Linked DNA regions of Rhinolophus ferrumequinum. The protein of the gene in region 1 interacts with the protein of each later gene in a biochemical or structural test. Links are inferred from orthologs where the notes say so. Each region holds a gene or a part of one and is shown in the gene's direction. Other genes may lie near its edges.

Region 1 (10,687 bases):
GCAGGTCTCCAGCAGGTCTCCGAGGTACAAAATCTGTCGGATTGGTCGTTCTTCTTGCTGGAGGAGGAAGCGCTAAGGGCAGATGGCTGTGGAAGCAGAGTCCTAGACCAGACCTCCCCTTCCACCTCTTTCTATTCCCTGCAGCATGAGTTGTAACGGCAAAAGGTGACAGACAACCTAACAATCCAACGATGGGGACAATTAGATCAATAATGGCCCACCCACAGAGATTGAGCCAACTCATATAGAACTGATGTGGAGAATGTGACAAGACACTGTAATATGAAAAAAGCAAGACATATACAAATATACAAAACAATATACAAAACAATGTGCATAACAGCCTACCATTTGGGTGGGGGACATGTATGTATATAAACACAAACAGCTGTACCTATGCGTCTATAGGGTATCTGTGGAAAGGTCCCCAAGAGTTGTAAACAACTGTTGCCTCCTGGGAGGGGAGCAGGGTGGCTCTGGGATATGAGAAGGAGGAAGCCTTGTTTTTTTCACTGTACACTTCTTTGTACTTTTAACAGCGTTATCATATGCCTATTTTTTTTTAAAGCCACCAGAAGAGACCCCTGGGAAAGGGGGACAATCTCTCAGAAGGCAGGCACTCGCATGGACACACCTGGCAGAGCAGGCTCAGTAAGCGGCCGTTTCTCACCTTAGCCACTAACGGGCAGGTATGTGTGACACCCTTGGGATTGTGAGCTCTACAAGCATAGGGCCCAGCATAGAGGACTCTGCCAAGTTTCTCAAGTGATTAAAAAAAGGCTGGAGGCTCACCTGGCCAAGGGTTACGCTACGGAGGATTTTGCTACTTTCTGGTCAGCCACAAAAAAAAAAGAAAAAGAAAAAGCAGTTGGGACAGGGGGCGGGGGTGGGAATCAATTCACTGATTTTTTTCATTAAAGGCCAGCACTGTGTCACATAGGCACTGAAGCTAAATATAATGAAGTTTAACTGACAATCTATCTCTTCACAGTTCCTGCCTGGTGCCCAGCCTCCAGCCCCCAGCCCCCCCTGCCTCTTGCCTGGTTGTCTTTACTCAGCTAGGAACCCTCATGGGAATCTTCCTAAAGCCTAAGTACCTCCATGTCTCTGCAGCTTTAAAGTCTTCTCTGGCTCCCCAGTGCCCTGAGTCTGATCAAATTCCCCTTTGAAACCTGTGACACAGCTTATGCTGAACTTCTGTGGCCTCTAAAAGAGCACTGAGCTCTTCTTTTCCTCCAGGCCTCCCTACATATTGTTCTTTCTGCCTGGATCACTCTTCTCTAGCGTTTCACTTAACAACTCATCTTACAGATGGCCCCTCCTCCAGGAAGTGTTCCCTAACATCCAGGCAGGGGCCCCCTCTGGCCCCCGTACCTCCAAGCCCTGACTCCAGGCTGTCAGTGACAAGGGACCTGTCTCCCCCACTGGACTGTGAACTCTGTAAGGGTGGGGCTGTTTCAGGCACCATAGGACACCAGCTCCACCCAGCACCAGGCCACACCAAGAGCAGGTAGGTACTCAGTGTTTGTGGCTAAACTCGCAGACGCCTTCCCTAGGAGTACACCTCCCTTGCCCCGTCCCCCACCGCCCCGCATACACCCAGGCCTGAGAGCTGGAAGGATACATGTGCCTGGTCGATCATGCACTTGCACAGTGTGAAGTCGGTGTGGGGCAGGTTGGTGAGGGCCTTTAGCAGGATCTGGGCGGTAACTGTGGTCTGAAAGAACGCTGGGTTGAACTGGTACCTGAGAAGGGAAACAAGACACATAGCAGGAGTGGCATCTCCACGTCCCAGAGCCTCGCCAGGTGCCAGGCACGTTACGTGCACTGCTTTGGCCTAGACCCTGGGAGCTGGACATGCCTGGGCTCCAATCCCAAGCACAGCACTCTCTGGTTAAGTGACCTTAACCTCCCTGATCCGACCCTATTTTCCTGCTCTGTGCACAGGGACAGCTAATCCTTACAACCACCCGGTGAGTCAGACACTGTTAAGTGATTCACAAAAAAATGAGTACACAAATAGCAGCCTGGAGTAGTGGTTAAGGCTCTGGAGCCAGACTGCCTGGGTTTAAACTTCCTGGCTGAGTGACCGTGAACTACGTATTTTAAATTCTCTATATGTCAGTTTCCTCCCTTGCAAAAAGGGACAGTGACAACCACACCTACCTTCCCAATACAGCATCTGTGTGAATTAATATATACAAAGCTTAGAGCACAGCAGCTACATGGTGAGCACTTAATATATACAAAGCTTAGAGCACAGCAGCTACATGGTGAGCACTCACTACGCAGCAGTTATCATCAGTAACATTCTACACAACCCCACAAATACAAGCGTTGTTATCGCCATTTTACAGAGATCAAAACAGAAGCTATGAATCTGTACAAATTACACAGCGAGTACTGTGTGAATTTAAGAGGGAAGAACCCAAACATCCGTCAACAGAACTGATAGTTTGGACACAGTCACACAGTGGAACACTATACAGCAATGACAAGCACACTGTTGCCACATGGAAAATGGGTGGATCTCACAGACGCAGAGCTGAGGGGAAGATGCCAGAAGAAGGAGAATTAGTGCTGTGGGACTACACTTGTATCAAAGCAGGCAAACCTGAGCTACGCTACTCGAGATGCATATATGTGTGGTAAACTCACACAAGGCCAGGCCACGAGAGCATAAGTGGTGGGAGCGGCAGCACAAAACCTATGCAGCAAAGGGCCTGGGGCAACCCTCAGTTTTGCAGTACGGATGGTGATCACATGGGTTACTCATTTATAATTACTTGTTAAACTACATACAATCCCTCAGTATCCATGGGAGTTGGTTCCAGGAGCCCCTGTGCCTACCAAAATCCACACTCAAGTCCCTTATATAAAATGACATAACATTTACATATAAGCTTCACACATCCTCCCACACACTTAAACCATCTCTAGACTACTTACAATACCCAATACAATGTAAATGTTTTGTAAGTAATAGTTACACTATATCGTTTAGAGAATAATGACAAGAAAAAAAGCCTATATGTGTTCAATACAGGTGTAAACATCGTAGGCCAAACAACAAGGTGTGATCAAAAAATATGATGACTGTTTAAATGAAAAAAAAAATTACTCAAGACACATTGCCATTAATCCCCCTCAAAGGACACCCCTTCCTTCAAACACACTTACCCCTAATCCCCCTCAAAGGACTCCCCCTTCCTTCAAACACACTTACCCCGTCGTTCTTGCCACTTTCTGAAGCAGTTCTGGAAGTCCTCTTTTGTGAGTGTTTTTAAGTTGCGCTGTCTGGCTGCCTTGATGTCCTGAATCGATTCAAAACGTTTACTTTTCATGGTCATTTTGACTTTGGGGAAGAGTCAGAAGTCGCACGGTGCCAGGTCCAGTGAATCAGGTAGATGAGGACACCGTAGTGTTTTTGACAGAAAATGCCATACCAGCAGCGATGTGTGACACGAAGCCTTCCCGTTGTGATCACAAAATACAGTGAATACTGCTGCCGAGTGCCACCCAATGGAAAGGCGGGGATCTTCAATATGGGAAGCGGCGGGTCAAACCTTAGTAACAGTGTGTGACCAGTTTCAACTTGTTCGGTGCAGTCAGTCCAGTGTGAGCTATGGTTGAAAGAAGGTGTGTTTTAAAGTGTGTCATATATCATCCTCTACAATGACAACGCTCCGTGTCACACATCACTTCTGGTACGGCAATTTCTGTCAAATAGAAACATTACGCTGTGTCCTCATCCACCTTACTAACTGGATCGGTCCCCATGCGACTTCTGGCACTTCCCCAAAGTCAAAATGATTCAGGACATCGAGGCAGCCGCGACAGTGCAACGAAAGACACTCATGAAAGAGGACTTCCAGAACCGCTTCAGAAAGTGGCAAGAACGATGGGATAAGTGCGTTTGAAGCAAAGGGGAGTATTTTGAGGGGGATTAATGGCATTGCATCTTTTACTATAATAATTTTTTTTTAATTTAAAAATCCACCGTACTGTTTGATCACACCTCGTACACAGTACACATTAGCAGTAACATCACATTTTGGGGGAAATAGTTTCGATCTTCAGTCAGTTGAACCCACGGACACGGAAAGCTGACTGTGTGTGTTTTACGTACTAGTCTATAGGTGATTTGTAATTCATAATTTTTTAAAAAACCATCCCTCCTCCTGCCCTACCTTCCTTGACTTCCTAGTCTTGCACACCAACAGAAGCCACACCCTGCAAGCTATGCCCAACTCCCGCCCCACCCGCTGTGGGGAGTCGCACCCTGCTAGCCCCTGGCATGGGGGTGGGGTTGGAGGCAAACACTCACAGCTTCAGAACAGCCAGGTTGGCTTCCAGATCATAGGCATTCTCCTTGGCCTGTGTCTCCACATAGCGTTCCAGGGTGGCCAGATTCTCAGGGTTGTACCTAGAGGAGAGTCAAGATGGGTGAGCGGAGAGGAGACAGGAGATGCAGCCAGTCACTTTATTGGGAGGGTAGGGGGACAGTAACCTGCTCCTCCCCCCCTTCGTTTTAAATATGGCATTGGCCACTTGCTCTACCTAAGTCTTGAATCAGCTCTATGAACTCTAATAAAATTTATCCACATCCCAGACCTGAGCCTACGCCCTGAACTCCATCACAGCCCTGGGTCTGACGCCTAGGATGCCTCCCCAGACTCCACTCAGTCATTGCAGCCTGTATACCTGACCGCCTGGACATCTTTACCGCCCACCCTTTCCTCCTCTCCCCAGGCCCCCACCCCCGTCTAGCCCCAGCCTCTCCTTCCTAGCTTCCCCCGTCCCAGCCCTGACTGCTCCCAACTATCACTGTCTATTGTCAGTTTGCCTGGACTCTGAACTGAGAACTCCATGAAAGCACGGCCTACAGCTGTCTTGGTCACCTCTGATCCCCAGCATTGCCCAGCATCGACAGTAGATTTTAGTGAACATATGTTGGATGAATGACATGAGGGGGAAAGAAGGAAGAGATGAAGAGGCACAGTGAGAGGCTGAGGAGCAGGCAAAGAGGAAACTGAGGCGCTGAGAGGACGTAAGGCAATTAAAGAGGGAGGCTGAGAGGTCGGCAAGGCTATCTCTTGGCTCTAAGTCTTTGCAATGCTGTTTCCTTAAACATCTCCTCCAGGATGATGGAGAAATCCCACGCCAGGGCAAGCCCAGCATTCTGACTACCCCTTGCTGTCTCCAGAAATTCTTCCACCCCGTTCGGCCAGCAGCGCTCCCTCCGACCGGGCTCAGACCTGTCGATCCCCTTGAGCAACTTGCCCACGTTCGCTCTCATCTGCTCAAACATCGCCATGACTGTTGTCGCTTCCCACACCCGCGGGTTGGAGCCGAAGTCCCTGCCGATGCACCTTCCTCGAGGACCGGAAAAGGAAGAGGCAGCGGAAACGGAAATACGTCACTGTTTTCTCTCAAGCCCCAGGGGCGGTGAAAGGGAAGGCTTTTGCGGCGGCTGCCACGTGACTTCTTCCCAACAGGCGCAATTGGCGCGTGCGCATACGCGCCACCCGAGCTGGACCAAGCGCGTGAAAAAAAGTTTAGTGCGCCGGCGCCTTCTCAGGGCGAGGAGGCGGGGCTCGGCTTTTCCCCGGCTGTGCTCCCTGCTCTGCCGGACTTGGGGTCGCCCTCTCCGGGAAGGAGAAGGGTCTTTGACCGCGTGCGCGCACGTCGCGTTTCGCGCGGCAGTGAATTCACGAAACTGAGTTGGAATGCACGTAGTAGCGCTCCCTTTGACCCGTGGCCAACTCCCAAGGGAGGTGCTCTCCGAGGGCCCCTTTCCCCCAGGCCTGAACCCCTGAGGCAGCATTTGAGCTCCGCAGTTTCAAGTCCGGAGACTGGTCCTCACGCTCCACCCTAACTCCAGGGGTAGAGGCCCGCAAAGCTGTTGTGCTCTGCCCGGTAAGGGCGGGGATGAAGGGCTCTTGGACCCCGCAGGATTGCGCCCAGTCCCCATAGACTCCAGTCTTGTGGGTGAAGGCAAGCGCCCCATGTATGCTGTCATGTTATGGGTACAGATTCTGCACACTGCAGGCGTGAATGCACAGGCATGTGTCGTGCTCTGGGTACATAACACGTGTGTATGCAGGTATCCAGGCATGTGCACGTCGACTGGTCTGCACCGCACGAGGGTATCACTAAGTGCATGTATGTGCCACAGGTTAACAGTAACGTACATTGCATTACTGTTGCAAACCTGCCACTCTAGGTTGTGGCCAAACCCTCCAGCACTCAGCAGAGGTTCATCTGTGGTTTTCAGCCACCGCCCAGAACGGGGGAGGGGGTGCTGAGGCACCCACCAGCTCACACTTAAGATAGTTTGCATCTGGTTTACATTCAGCCCCAGGCCCTGAAGGTGGAGGGGGGTCCCCTGGGTCCCAAGGCAAGCTGCCCCTCAAGGCTCTCAGGGCCCAGGGGACAGGGGGTGGAGCCGGCTGTGCAGCCGGGCTGGGGCAGGAAGCGAGAGTGGGGAAGGGGGAGGCCACAGCCGGTGGAGGCAAGGCGGGTGCAGGGAGTGTGGGGAGGGAGGGAGGTGCCAGCATTTGAGCCCTGAGGCCCTGCTGGCCCCTGGGCGCAGGCCCAGCTCCAGCCCCCAGGAATGGACCTCGTGGACCCGGACATCTTTAATAGGGATCCCCGGGACCACTATGACCTGCTGCAGCGGCTGGGTGGCGGCACCTATGGGGAAGTCTTCAAGGTGAGGACCCCCCCATCACCCTCCAACTAGTGACCTTTGGGGTGAGGCCCAAGAAGGGAAGGGGATGTGAGAGGGTCCCAGTCCTTGGCATTGGCTCAAGGATGCTGAGGAGGAATTCAGGGGAATGGAGCCTGTCTGACTGCCAACTTCCCCTTCACAAGGCTCGAGACAAGGTGAAAGGGGACCTGATGGCACTGAAGATGGTGAAGATGGAGCCTGGTGAGGAGAGAACCCAGGAGCTCCTTCCCCACACCCCACCCCCACCTCCTGGGACACTGGGATTGTCCCCATACTCCCTCCCTGCAGTGGCCTTTTCTCTCCTGCCCCTCCTCACAGACGACGATGTTTCCACACTTCAGAAGGAAATCCTCATCTTGAAAACTTGCCGGCACGCCAACATCGTGGCCTACCATGGGAGTTATCTCTGGTGATGAGCCTCAGACCTGCCCTAGGACCCCGCCCAGCCCCTACCCCAGCACTCCCATTCCTGACCAGAGTACTCCCTAACCCGACCTCCAATTCTGGACCCCCATTTTTACTGGGGCATCCCTAACTTGATCCCCAGTCCAAACTCCCACTTTTCTGAACAGAACACCGCCTAATCTAACCCTCAGTTCAGAACTCCCATTTCTGATCATGGGTCCCCAAAATTGATCTCTTTATAGTAACCAAATCTGAAACTTAGTTTCCTAAAACTGATCTTTCATCATCCTGCCTTTCGGATCCCCCAGTTTCCCTCTCTGCTCTTTCAATATGAACCCCTAAATTCCTTGACCCTCAATTTAATATCCCAGATGCCCCAATAATGACCTCTGTCCCCCAGACCTGGCACCTTGGGCCTCTGTGTCCCTTTGAACCTCTGCAAGTTGTGAGATCTCTGCCCTGTTTCTGAGGTTATCATGGGACAGTGGAGGGAGCCCTGGGTTAGGAGCCCAAAGACCTGGGTTCAAGCCCAGTTGATCCTGAACATACATTTCCTCTGAGCCTCAACTTCCCATCTATAAAATGGAAGTGGGATCATCCCACTCTGGCAAGGGGAGATAGAGAGATGACAGCTGTTACATTAAAATTCAGAACAAGACAGTGAGCCAGGGGCTGTCCTATCAATTATAATTTATTACTATTATTGTTATTACTACTCTTGCACTTTTGTAGGTTGCAGAAGCTCTGGATCTGCATGGAATTCTGTGGGGCTGGTTCTCTTCAGGACATCTACCAAGGTGAGAGGAAGGGCAAGGGGATCCAGGAAGCTCCCGCCCCTCCATCCACCCCTCCTGTCTCTCTGTGTTTGTGCCGCCTAAGACTGTTTTTCTGGTCCGTATTTCATACAGTGAGCCCCTCCTCTGGGCCTGGGTCTGGCTGGGGGTACTGTGGGACCGAGTGGACCCTGGTCCCTGCCCTCTGGGACCTGATAGTCCAGCCCAATCTTTCTACATGCAACCATCCCCTCTGTCCAGCCCCATCTTCCTCTATGTCTGCATTTTCTCACCGTCTATTCGTGTGTTTGAGTATTTCTGCATTTTTTGGCTATAGTAGGTGCCCACATTTTCATTGAATGAGTGAATGAATATCTGATCCTCTCTCTTGGCCTACTTTTTCACGCTCTTGAAGAATTTGATGGTGGAGATGGAGTGGGTCTCTGATCACCTCTCAATTTCTGATGCCTACCTCTGTCTTTGACTATCTTCCTGTGTCCCTCCAGCCCAACACTTCAAATGTCAGAAAAGGAATGATTTTATTACAAAGTCCTCAGGGAGGAAACTGAGGCCCACAGAGAGGAAGTAACTCACACAGCCAGACCGTCAGACCTGTTTTCCCTCCACCTCTCTCTGTCATTCCCTCTCCACCCTCTCTCTGTATCTCTCTTTCGAAATGTCTGTCTTCCCACTTTTTGGTCTCTTACCACCTCTTTCTCTATCTCAGTTTGGATCTGGTCCCGCTTCTGTCTGTCTGTCTCTGTGTACCTCTGCCTTTGCTCATTTTGCAGAGTCCCATCGCCCCGGGTAGGGCCCTCCCATGGCTTCCATTTCCCTCTAAACAAAGCCCTCATCATGACCCATGAGTCTGACCACCACGGCATCCCAAGCCGAACCACCTCATCTCCTGCCCCGCGTCCACCCACTTCGCTGCTTGTCAAGCCCACCAGACACCCTCCCACCGCCCAGCCTCTGCACCGGATCTTGTTCCTCCTCTGGGGGGGAACTGCTCACATCTCCATCCTATCACTTACTCTGTACACAGAGTAGCCTTCTCTGACCAGCCTGTGTAACAAGTCATCGCCTTCCCATGTATGTTTCCCGTGGTCCTCGTACTCTGTTTTTCTTAGTATGAGCATCTCCTGCACTGCATATTTTACTTTTTCTGGTTTACTGTTGGCTTCTCCCACTGGAATGTTCTCTCCAGGAGGGCAGGGATCTGTTGCTCTCGTCCAGTGCCTACCACAGTGCGTGGCACACAGTAAATACACAGTAAATGTCTGCTGTCTCCCTCTGGCCTCTGGTTCCCTGCTGATTCTTTCTTTCGTTGATCACCCCTCCATCTCCCCACGTACTTGTCCCTTCCTGTATGCCCCTCTGCATGTGGCACCCTCTGGGCTGGTGTGGGCGGGGACCCAGGGCTCCCAGGGCCAGGCTTCCTGGTTCCCAGCCAATGCTGCCCTGGGGTGATCTTTGCAGTGACAGGCCCCCTGTCAGAGCTCCAGATTAGCTATGTCTGCCGAGAAGTGCTCCAGGTGAGTGGAGGCCTGGTGGGCCTGGGTGGGGCGGGGCCCTGCTCCAGTCCCCAGGCTCTTACAGCCCCCATGCCCACCCTCCTCCTCAGGGACTGGCCTATCTCCACTCACAGAAGAAGATACACCGGGACATCAAGGTGGTCTAGGGGCAGAAAGGTGGCTGTGGTGGGTGGGGGGCCCAGGAGGTGGGAGTGTTATTTGGAAGGTGTAGGGCGGTTGAGCTGTGGGGCGGGGAAGCAAGAGGCAGTGTTGGGCCGGGAATGGTGGTCTCTGCCAGCCGCTAATGCTCCCTCATCCCCAGGGAGCCAACATCCTCATCAATGACTCTGGGGAGGTCAGACTGGGTGAGTGTGGCTGGGGGAGTTTGCAGAGGGGGCCTGGCTGGGGGCCTGAGGGGACAGGGGACCCCAGGTCACTATGTCTTTTCTCTCTGCCTCCAGCTGACTTTGGTATCTCAGCCCAGATCGGGGCAACGCTGGCTCGACGCCTCTCTTTCATTGGGACACCCTACTGGTGAGGGGTACCCAGCGGGCAGCTAGGGGTGCAGTGGGGAGCAGGGCCTTTTCTACCTTGATCTCTGGAAATCTTCTGGCTCCTTCTCCCTGAATCTGCCTTGCTCTGTTAACATTCTGTCTTCTCTTTGTCTCTCTCTTGAATTTTCCATTTACTTAGGTCTCTCTGGGCTCCTTTCCACCTGTTTCTCTAAGTGTTTGTGTTGATTTGTATCCTGGTCTGTCCCTCCCTATCTGTCGATTTCTGTCTTTTTTCTCTGTCTCAGTGTGCACCTCTCTCTGTCTCTGTTCTTCTATCTCTCTCACTCTCTGTCTCTCTCTTTGTCTCTTTCTCTCCATCTTTATGTTTCTTTCTGCATCTGCCTCTCTCTATGCCTCATCTCCCGTCCCCCCCATTCTCCTTCTTACTTTGCCTCTCTCCCCCCTCCAATCCCCACACCAAGGAGCCTCCCCTCCCCCTCCTTCTTGTGTCACCCCTGGCTCTCTGAGGGTCTCTGCCCCCAGGATGGCTCCAGAAGTGGCAGCTGTGGCTCTGAAAGGGGGATACAACGAACTGTGTGACATCTGGTCCCTGGGCATCACAGCCATCGAACTAGCTGAGCTACAGCCACCGCTCTTTGATGTGCACCCTCTCAGGTAGGCAAGTGTGGCAGGTCCCCCAGAGCCCAGATACCCCGCCCATTCCTGACCCTGAACACACCCCCAGCCTGCCTCCCCACATCAAGACCC
Region 2 (9,886 bases), on another chromosome or scaffold:
ACATCTGAGTGAAAGACATTTTCAAAGATTAAGTCTATAAAGTCTCGGGTGGCCCGCCGGTTTGCTCAGTGGTCAGAGCGCAGCGCTCGTAACACCGGTCGCCGGTTCAGTTCCCACATGGGCCAGTGAGCTGAGCCCTCCACAACTAAACTGAAAACAACGACTTGACTTGGAGCTGAACTGTGCCCCACACCTAGATTGAAAGAAAAAAAAAAAATGACATGACATGGAGCTAATGGGTCCTGGAAAAAACACACTGTTCCCCAATATTCCCCAATTAAAACAAAACAAAACAGAAATATGTAAAGTATCATTACAGATCAGCACTAATAGCTCACCATCTGACGATAGGGAACACTAGCCATTGAACCCCAATTAAGCAAAATATTATCCCCAAAAAACAATTCCATTCTTCTCATTAGTATACCTGGATTACAAAATGATTACTTAATTACTATAATTTGCATTTCATTTTTTTAAACTGTAGAAATTTTTTTCTTGTTATTTAAGTACTTACATAATATTCTTGATTTTCTTCTTGGCCTGCAAAGCCTAAAGTATTTTACTATCTGACCCTTTACAAAAAATATATATATATATATGTGGTGACTCCTGATTTCTAAAGGGATGCATAGAACTGACTTCTTTGAGATAAGTGTAAGAGGGAATCAGTGTTCTCTAGCAGAAGGATCATTCTGCTCAGAATTTTACTAATGATACTCCAGAGTACTCTGAAATCCAGGAGAAACAAGAAAATTTGCCTTTCAGCCCACAAGTAGCTAAGTGACAAGAAAGTGGACATTACATAAAAGGTAACACAGCAATTAGAAACTACATTAGAAAATGGGAAGAAGAATATGACTACACTTTAAAACACTGGAATAAAGGTCAGTGCTTTCGATAGTGGTTAACAGACCTTCTGGATATGGCAGCTAGGCCTACTTCAGAGATATTACCCTATGAACAAAATGATTATTTTAAATTGTTTGGTATGGAAAATTATAATGGGTATATGAACATTATTTTATTAGTATTGTAGTAATAAAGTAATAGCAGGAAAAAAAGAAATCATCAATAAGCTCCTTTTCTGTTTTAGGAGATAAACTTAGAAATACATGTAAAACATGGGGGAATAGGGACTGAAAAGAACTGATGAATGAGAGAAAAAATTTATTACTTAAGAGGGGAAAAGTTCAAAGAATCAGGTTAATAAATGCAGTAGAAATTGAACAGGTCAGTGAATTCTTATGGAGAGAGCATCTGAGAATGTCTGGCCTTATCAAGTCAGTGAAATAAATACTTCACATACTTCCCCATCGACACGGTCATGCCCCTTTTACCCTCAGCATCATTGCTAGAAAAGAATCTAGGGCAGGAGGAAGGGACAGACACTTGTTCCTCTCGTGTCCTCAGTAAGGCAGCAATGTAGGAAGACTGCCTGGCTTACCCATCAGCCAAAAGGTTGGACCTGACCAGAGAGGGGAGAACAAAAAGTCGGTAGTGGGTCTCAAGGTCGTGTCCTCTGTACAGAGGCAGCCGCAGGGCTAGGAAATAAGGAATCCAGACAAGTTGCTCTAAAATCCTTGTCAGTCCTTTGAATCTAGATTGTAAACTTCTCAGAAGATGAGTGTTAAGTGTAATACCACGTGGAAACCCTGGGAATGAGCAAGCTAAGGCAGAATCACAAATCTTTATATTACAGCCCTTTTTTAAAATGCTTCTTTGTTGCTTATCCATTAATTTCCATTTTATCTCTTAGCATCTAGGAACACTTTTTGGAACTATTTTTAAGCTTCTCTCAGCTGTGCTGAGGAAACATAAAGGAAAGTACTAAAAAAAATTTCTATTGTAAAAATTTCCAAACATATACAAAAGTAGAACAATATAATCCCCCCTACACACACATCATGTCACTCAGTTTCAACAATTATCAACACAAGGCCATTTTTGTTTCACTTTTATCCAGTCCACACCCTATTTCCCACTGGACTATTTTGAAGCTAAAGGAGAGGTATTTTGATCAATTTTTAAGAGGAATTTTTAAAGAGGGGAGCGTGGCATTTTGGCAGCAGAATGGTGGTGCTATCTAAAATCCAAGCTGGGGGACAAATCCAACCCCTATTTCAAGACTGATATTCCTTTCTGGTGCTAGAATCTATTTCGGAGGGCCTCAGTTTCGCTATCAGCAAAACACAGAATATGGACTAAATTATAGGCAGTTGGGTAACAGTGAAATGAGACCTTGACTTCAAGTCAAAAGATCTGGCTTAAGAGTCCATTCAGCTCTGCCTTTTGCAAATTATATAACTTATAAATTATGTAAGTAACACTTAACCTCTCTGAATTTCTATCTACAAAAGGGTACTTCATGGGACTTTGGTTGAATTAAGTAAAACAATGTATTATTTGAAGTTTTGTGAATTAAAATGCGCTATATAAATTCGGTTTTATTGAGTTCTTCAGTTAAGTAAAAGATGACTCAGATTTGAATCTACAAATTAGGAAAACAGTGATGCTATTGACAGAAAAGGAGAAGCTGAAAGGCAAAGTTTAATCCAAATGGAAGACTAAACAGAGAGGGAGACATGGGGCTAAACCTTTGATCCAAATATCTATTTAAAATACATTCATTATGTTAATAATAGGAAATAATTGCACAGTCTCCTTACCCTCAGCAAAATAAATGTTCAGTTTTCTCTAGCTTCTCCCTGTCTTTATCCACCTACATAAAAAAACCATTTATTAAGTATGTATTATGTGCTGGGCATTGTGCTAGGCAGTGGGAATACAAAAAAATAACACCACTGTCTGCCTCCAAGATGCTCAGATTAGGAGACACACTTATTATATAAACAATTATAGTAGAATCGGATAAGAATTAATTTGGGCGGTGACTACTGTTTGCACAGTAATCATAGGGTGTGGTCAGTTTTTGTTCTATTTTTAGAATATACCTGTTTCAGAGTCACCGACAGAGAGGTGACTCCTAAAGCCTTCATCATGGTCTACGAAAAGAGAAGCTGTAGAAAGGTTAAGGACTGAGCTTCTCCACAGAGGCTGGAGACAAAAGTGCCACAGGAAGAGGCTGAGAAAGTATATTTGGAGAGGTGGAAGAAATTGTTAGTGTACTAGGAGCTGGGGGCAGGGAGAAAAGTCTTTTCAAAAAGAGATTTTTAGGGCTGGCCCGGTGGCTCAGATGGGCCTAACTCCATCTCCTAACTCCAAAGGCTGCCGGTTCTTCGATTCCCACATGGGCCAGTGGGCTCTCAACCACAAGGTTGCCAGTTCAATGGTGGGCTCCGCCCCCTGCAACTAGCAACGGCAACTGGACCTGGAGCTGAGCTGCGCCCTTCACAACTAAGACTGAAAGGACAACTTGACTTGGAAAAAAAGTCCTGGAAGTACACACTGTTCCCCAATAAAGTCCTGTTCCCTTTCCCCAAAAAAATCTTTTAAAAAAGAAAAAAGAGATTTTTAGTATAAACACTTAAAGCTAGGTAGATCAATGGATTCAATGGAGATCACTAATGATCTCCAAAGACCAGTTTCAGGCAAAGTAAGGGTAGAAGCCAAACGAAGAAGGCTGAGCAAGGAGTGCTCAGTGAAGTGGGAAAATCTGGCAGTGAAAATCAGCTAGAAAATCAAATGGAGATTTTTCTCTCCACCCTCACACACCCATTTTAAGATCTGCACTTTTTTTAAGGCTATGGGTAGAAGGCCAGGGAGAGACTGAATAAAAATAATGAAAGATTCTTATATGATACTTAATATGTGCCATGCACTATTCTTAGTACTTTACATGTATTAGCCTGTTTAATAATACATGAGGCAAGGATGGAATGATTAAGTAACTGGCCAGAGGTCACTCAGCTAGTCAATTGACTGAGTCAAGATTTGAACCTCAACAGTTAGCTTCAAATTCTGTGCTATTCAAGTTGTACCTGAGGTTGCCTTTTACTTAACAGAAGAACTCAATAATACCTAATTTAGATAGTGCATATCAATTCATGAAACTTCAAATAATACATGAAAGTGTGTGGGCAATTGATGAAAACGTGCTTCTGCTGAGTCACAAAAGGCACCAGCCCATGACCCTTGAGTTTACCCTAGGATGGGCATCACCTATCACCCTATACATTCTAGGACATGTTCAACCTGAAGGAAGGGGATGTGCAAACAGCCAAAATGAAATTGCATTGAAAGAGGGATCTAAGCATGGGTTTGTACTGCGTGCATCTCCCTTTCTGGACATGCTTTCTTTTCTGTTCAATTCAGGGAGTGGTGCTACCAATAATCGGGCACCAGGAACTTCGAGGTTTTTTAATATTCACTCAACAAATATTTGAAAGCATCAACTTAGGGCCCGACATTGTGCTAGGCCCAGAGGTGAACAATTCAGACAAGATCCTCTCTCAATATTTACAATCTAGTTGGAGGGTGGGGAGAACAAAGACTAGGAGGCCAAGGCAGGAGAGGGGTGAACAAGGGGGAAGATTAACTCGGAGAAGCCAGTAGAATCCCTGGCAGGCGAGGCCTTGAGGCCACGCCCAAGAGGCTTTTGTATTTAACTTGCATCAATTCAGCGCCAGTGACCGCCAGATTACCCTAAACACTTTCTAGACCATTTAATCCTGTCAATCCAACCTTTACACCTCCCACTTGTGCCTGTCGGGTCACCGGGTCACTCTGGGTCCCTAGGCCTACAAGGCCTCCTCGGGCCAGGGTCACCTACTCCCCCTATCTAGTGTCGCCTCAGCCCCCACGATCATCTTCTTGAGCCACCTCGGCCAATCCGGGTTTATACTCCCGTCGGTCTCTCTTAGCGCGGGTCTCCTCCGCCGGCCAGGTCACCTCAGTGACACGCTACCAGGGCCGGAGGTTCGGCCAGCGCGTTACGCTTTGTTCCCAGAACAGGTTTTCGAAATGCCTCTCCCTCTCGGCTCCAGCTGTTTTCCTGCCAGTGCGGGGAGACCCGGCAGAGGCAGCGCCCCCGGCGGCGCACAGTGGCCCAGGAAGGGAGTGCCCGCCGCCGCCAACTTCCCCACCTCCTCAGCCTCCTCCCGGAACGCGGGATAGCGCGCGAGCGGCGCACGCCCCGGCCGTCTCGGCCGAGTTCCTGATTGGCTATGCCGCGCGACGTCACGGGGAGGGTCCCGGCGGCAGCTGGTAGGCGAGCCCGCGCGTGCGCAGACTGAGCGCGGTGAGCGGAGGGGGAGGTGGCCGGCGGCTTATCTCGCGTCCGCCATTTTGTTGCTGTAGCTCTTGGGAACCGGCTGGGCAAAACCGCCCTAGAGGCGCGACGCTCTTTGGACTCCGGTGTTTGGTGTGTCAGCGGGGGTTGGCGCAGATCCGTGGGAGCGCAGAGCCGACGCGTTTCAGGTCAGGAGTGACTGGAGGCACCCACGGACGCCGAGCATCCCGAGAACCCCGGGGCGGCCTCTGCTGCGGCTCGGCTTCACCCGCCCCGACCTCAGGCTCTGCCCGGCATTCCCCGAGCCGGCTCCCTCCGTGAGGCGGCCCCGGAGCAGGCGGGCGGAGGCGGAGGATGCTGCGGGCCCAGAGCCAAGAGGAAGGTGCTGGCTCGGCCCTCTAAGCGCGCCTTGAGGTGTGCCGAGAGGCCCTTCTTCGGTCCCAAAGCCGTCTGGCGGGCAAAGGCGTCCAGAGCGGGCAAGAGCAGCCGCCGCCCCAGAGCGCCTGCCCGACACCATGTCCTCCGCCAGGTTCGACTCATCAGACCGTTCCGCCTGGTACATGGGGCCGGTGTCTCGCCAGGAGGCGCAGACCCGGCTCCAGGGCCAGCGCCATGGCATGTTCCTAGTCCGCGACTCCTCCACCTGCCCGGGGGACTATGTGCTGTCGGTGTCCGAGAACTCGCGGGTCTCCCACTACATCATCAACTCGTTGCCCAACCGCCGTTTTAAGATCGGGGACCAGGAGTTTGATCACTTGCCGGCCCTACTGGAGTTCTACAAGATCCATTACCTGGACACCACCACGCTTATCGAGCCCGCGCCCAGGTACGCGAGCGCCCGCAGCCGGGCGCGCTACGCACCCCGACCCCCGAGGAAGGTCGACAGTGGCTGGGTTGGTTCGCTTGGGGTCCATCCAAGAGTGTGTGTGGGGGGGGGGCGGGGAGAGGGGTCATTGAACTCATTTCCCCCTATTCTGAACCAAATTACTTTCCAGAAGCCTTTCGGAAGGGAAGGCTAGTGCCAGGATCTGGGTCACTGTGGATGAAGGGGATGTGTCTTAAACAGATTTAACGGCGGTTGCATAGATAAAATGTACGCGTTTTGCTTTTCATCACATTCTTTATTTGGTTATCATGCTAAAGGAGGGTTTTTGTTGTTTTGGGATTTTTTTATTTAAACCTTTTTTGGATCACAGACTTCTTTGAGAATATTAATATCGCCGTGGCATTCTCCCTCCCCCCAAAAATGCACGTACACACAAGTTTGCACGCCATTCAAGGGTCTTGGACTCCCTGCAGATCTCTGAACTCCAGGTTAAGAACTCTTGGACTGCAGCCTTTGGAACGATCGACAAATGACAATGCTTTAGCGTTTAGGAACAAAAACCTTTAAATGTGAAGTAGTATCAGAACTGTATGTCGATACCTTGGTGCCAGGTTTGAAATAAGCCAGACACATTCTATTTTATCATACATCAGTTACAAAAAAATCTTAAAAGAAGGTGCATTGGCTTCAGTGAGGGCATTTTATTTATTTATTTTATTTTACAGTTTTCCCCCAAGCTGGACCGTTAATAGGCTAAAAATCCACTTGGTTTAATTTCAAGGAGGAATAAGGCTAGAATATTTGCTTACTAAGGGAAATTTTTAAAAGACACTTTAATTCTATCGTAGTTCAGTTTTAGATTTTTTTTGTATTAAGTCTAATGATTTAATACCTTTTAAAGTTAACAACCCTAAGTGACACTGAGCATCAAGCATCCCCTTTTGTAAATAAAATGCATTCTTTTATTTGATTATTTGCTTTAATTTGTCTTAGTCAGTATTTTATCAGATGTTTCTTTCATGCCAGATTTGAGCTGAAATTATGCCAAATTTGAGCTGAAGAAATTGCCTAGAATTTTAAAAATAAAAGGTATTTCACTGTCCAATTTGTTTCTTAAACATCTATTTTAAAAATACAGGAGATTTTGGGGGATGAGATGTTTCTGATTTTATGAATTTGCTGACGAGATTACTCCGAGCTTGAATCATTATAAGGTATTATAATTCATTAAGGAGCACCCTAAGTGTTGGCTTCTGTGGAGTAGAGATAGAGAAAAAAACAAAGCCATGACAGTATAATGACTATGAGATTAACTGCTGAAGTAAATGGACTTTAAAAACTGGGACAAAGTGATTATAAATCAAATACTGTGTAACAAAGACCTAGACACCAAGAATCTGGTGAAACTCCAGGTCCCCGAAGATGCTGGTAATTGGACTCACTTTGAGCACGATATAATTACAATGTAAGGGATAGAATCTTAGAATCCATGGTAGTGAGATTTTGTAATGTGTTTACGTAAATGATTTTCCTAACTTGGGAAGGTGAATCATATCATGAATTTCAGGCATTTATTAAGCCGTGCTATGGGCAAGGCATTGTGCTTTCTTGAGGTGACAGGTACTATATACTATAGCTGTTTCAAAAAGTGTAAGTAAATGGCTTGATAGGCCTCAGTCGCTTCCCACTACCCCCAACAACGACTCCAAATCTTCCATACACTGTGCCTTCGGAGATGTGATCGATGCCTGTCCTCTCCTCCCACCTTGACCGCCGCCCCGCTAGGCCGCTCGCTCATTCCCGGAACCTTTGCGCAGGCTGTTGGCTCTTCAGTGACTGCCTACCCACCCACTCCTCACTTACTGTATTGAAATCCTACCTGTTGTTCCAGGCACCTCTCAAATAATAGGACCTTTCCCTGACCCTCCCCCTCACATTCAGCTTTGATTAGTTCTCCTTCTCTGTGCCCTCCGCCCCAGGCGTGTTGCTGTAATTTAGTTTTTCATTTTCCCTGGTATCTCGGAGGGCCTTCACAATGCTGGCTGAATTAGATCCTGACTGGAATGACTTTGTTATACTGAATCTTTGCCTCTCCCCAGCCTGAAATTCACGGATTTGGTTTGATGTGTTATTAGCCTTTGTAGAAATCTAGAGGCTGGTAAAACCTTGGCCAGATGCAAAAGTCAGTGTAATGATTTTTCACACCCCAAACAGGCTAGATTAAGTGGGTTAGCTTTTTAGGCATCATAACTGAGCTCTTGAAGCCAGAATTTCATACGCCGTGGCTAATAGTTCGTTTTTTTTATTTTGCTCAGCAGAAGATCATAACTGTATGACTTAACTCAGAATTTAAGAATTGGTGCTTGTTTTGTTCTAGTCTGATTTTTTATTGCAATGTTCCTTAACTTTTAATTTTATATTTTTATTCAAATATTTACAAGAAAATTTTATCCCAGAGATAGGGACTAGGAAAGATGGGTGACAGATATTGCTTTCTTCATCGTGGAACTACATTTTAGTGGAGGAGGCAGAAAAGTAGAAAAATAAATAAAATACAAAATTAAGAAATGCTATGAAGGAAGTAAACCTAGGCCAAGAAAATATAATAGAAGGGACTGACTTGAGCTTATGTGGTCAGAGAAAGCATGAAACTACCTAAGGATAGAGAAGAAAAGCAAGCCTTGGAAAGGTTTAGGCTAAGGGGAAGAGTCTTCCAAGCATAGAGAAGAGCTTATGCAAAGTCCTGACATGAGAAGCCAACCACATACTGGGAGTCTGGTTCTTAAAGGAACAGGTTATAAGAAGAGTTTGGAGATACTGTGGTCAAGGTAAGGAAATTGGGTTTTATTTAAAGTGCAGTGGGTGCTGTGGAAGGAGTTTGAAGCAGGGGAGGGACCTGGGGCTGTTACTGTAATCCAGGTGCAAAATGATGGTGACTGATGACACAGTGTATGTCATAGGTCATACAGACATAGACTGACATAGAACACTTTGGCTCGGAGATGCCTATTTTGAAGATAAGATTGATGCTGATGGGAAGGGGATGATGGGGCAAGAGAAAGGAGAAACAGAGATGACAGTGGTGTATTTGCAGCTTTGTGTTCTCTGGGTTTATCTCAGTACTGCAATTGCTTTTTGTATTTGTGGTGTTCTTGTGGTGGTTTTTAAATTTAACCCCCAAACGGTATCATGTCAGATGGCTTTTGTTGATTTTGAATGACCCTAAAGGATTCTCTTTCTGAGGGTGTAATTTTTATATTACAAATCATTTGATAAACAGAAAACCTGTGGTGGTTTTCACTTCCATTTTTTTTTTTGAGCATAAACATTTTTAACATTCCGTGTATTAAGTTATAGTTGTTAGGTAAGCGGTAGTGTTTTTTTAATTTACTAGAGGTTATTTCCAGTTTAATAACAATGTTTTAGAAGGTTCTAAGTGGATTGTTTAGATATGAACTACATTTTCCCATGGTTTAGAAACTTGAAAGTGTTTTGCGTAACTGGCTTTTCCAGTTCTAGCTTATGTATAAAGGCTAGGAGAAGAATCATGAGAAGTAAAAAGTTTAAAACTGAGGCAAGTTGACCCTTAGAGAAAAGTCTTGTTTTTCACTCAACAGACATTGCATATTGCATGTACCTGGTAAAATGGAAATGCTAGCATTGAATCGACAGTCCCTGTCATGCTCTTGAGGTCAGTGGTTGCAGAGATTTTTTAAAAGGTCATTTCCCTGCTAGCTAGTATGATAAGGTAGCTGTGGGAGAACCGACAAAGGTTGCTCAGCCTACCCAAACACCCAGAGGAGAACCTTCACACTTGTGAGGCAGAAAGCAACCTCTGCGTGGACCAGAGGATATCACAGGCAGTAGGG

What was found.
Region 2: the proteins of MAP4K1 (region 1) and CRKL form a complex in vitro, tested with the Homo sapiens proteins (2 studies listed by BioGRID). The link is inferred for Rhinolophus ferrumequinum from reciprocal best matches to the Homo sapiens genes MAP4K1 and CRKL.

Annotation. Positions count from the first base shown.
Region 1 is NC_046298.1:37,984,221-37,994,907, reverse strand, and holds the start of MAP4K1 (mitogen-activated protein kinase kinase kinase kinase 1), read left to right. Parts: upstream 1-6,560; 5' UTR 6,561-6,616; coding exon 6,617-6,715; intron 6,716-6,876; coding exon 6,877-6,934; intron 6,935-7,051; coding exon 7,052-7,142; intron 7,143-7,870; coding exon 7,871-7,935; intron 7,936-9,390; coding exon 9,391-9,446; intron 9,447-9,535; coding exon 9,536-9,583; intron 9,584-9,747; coding exon 9,748-9,790; intron 9,791-9,886; coding exon 9,887-9,959; intron 9,960-10,462; coding exon 10,463-10,594; intron 10,595-10,687. Other genes in the region: EIF3K (eukaryotic translation initiation factor 3 subunit K), read right to left, coding at 1-57, 1,625-1,745, 4,328-4,426, 5,259-5,317. UniProt on the Homo sapiens protein: Serine/threonine-protein kinase, which plays a role in the response to environmental stress. Appears to act upstream of the JUN N-terminal pathway.
Region 2 is NC_046308.1:23,324,391-23,334,276, forward strand, and holds the start of CRKL (crk-like protein), read left to right. Parts: upstream 1-5,206; 5' UTR 5,207-5,706; coding exon 5,707-6,017; intron 6,018-9,886. UniProt on the Homo sapiens protein: May mediate the transduction of intracellular signals.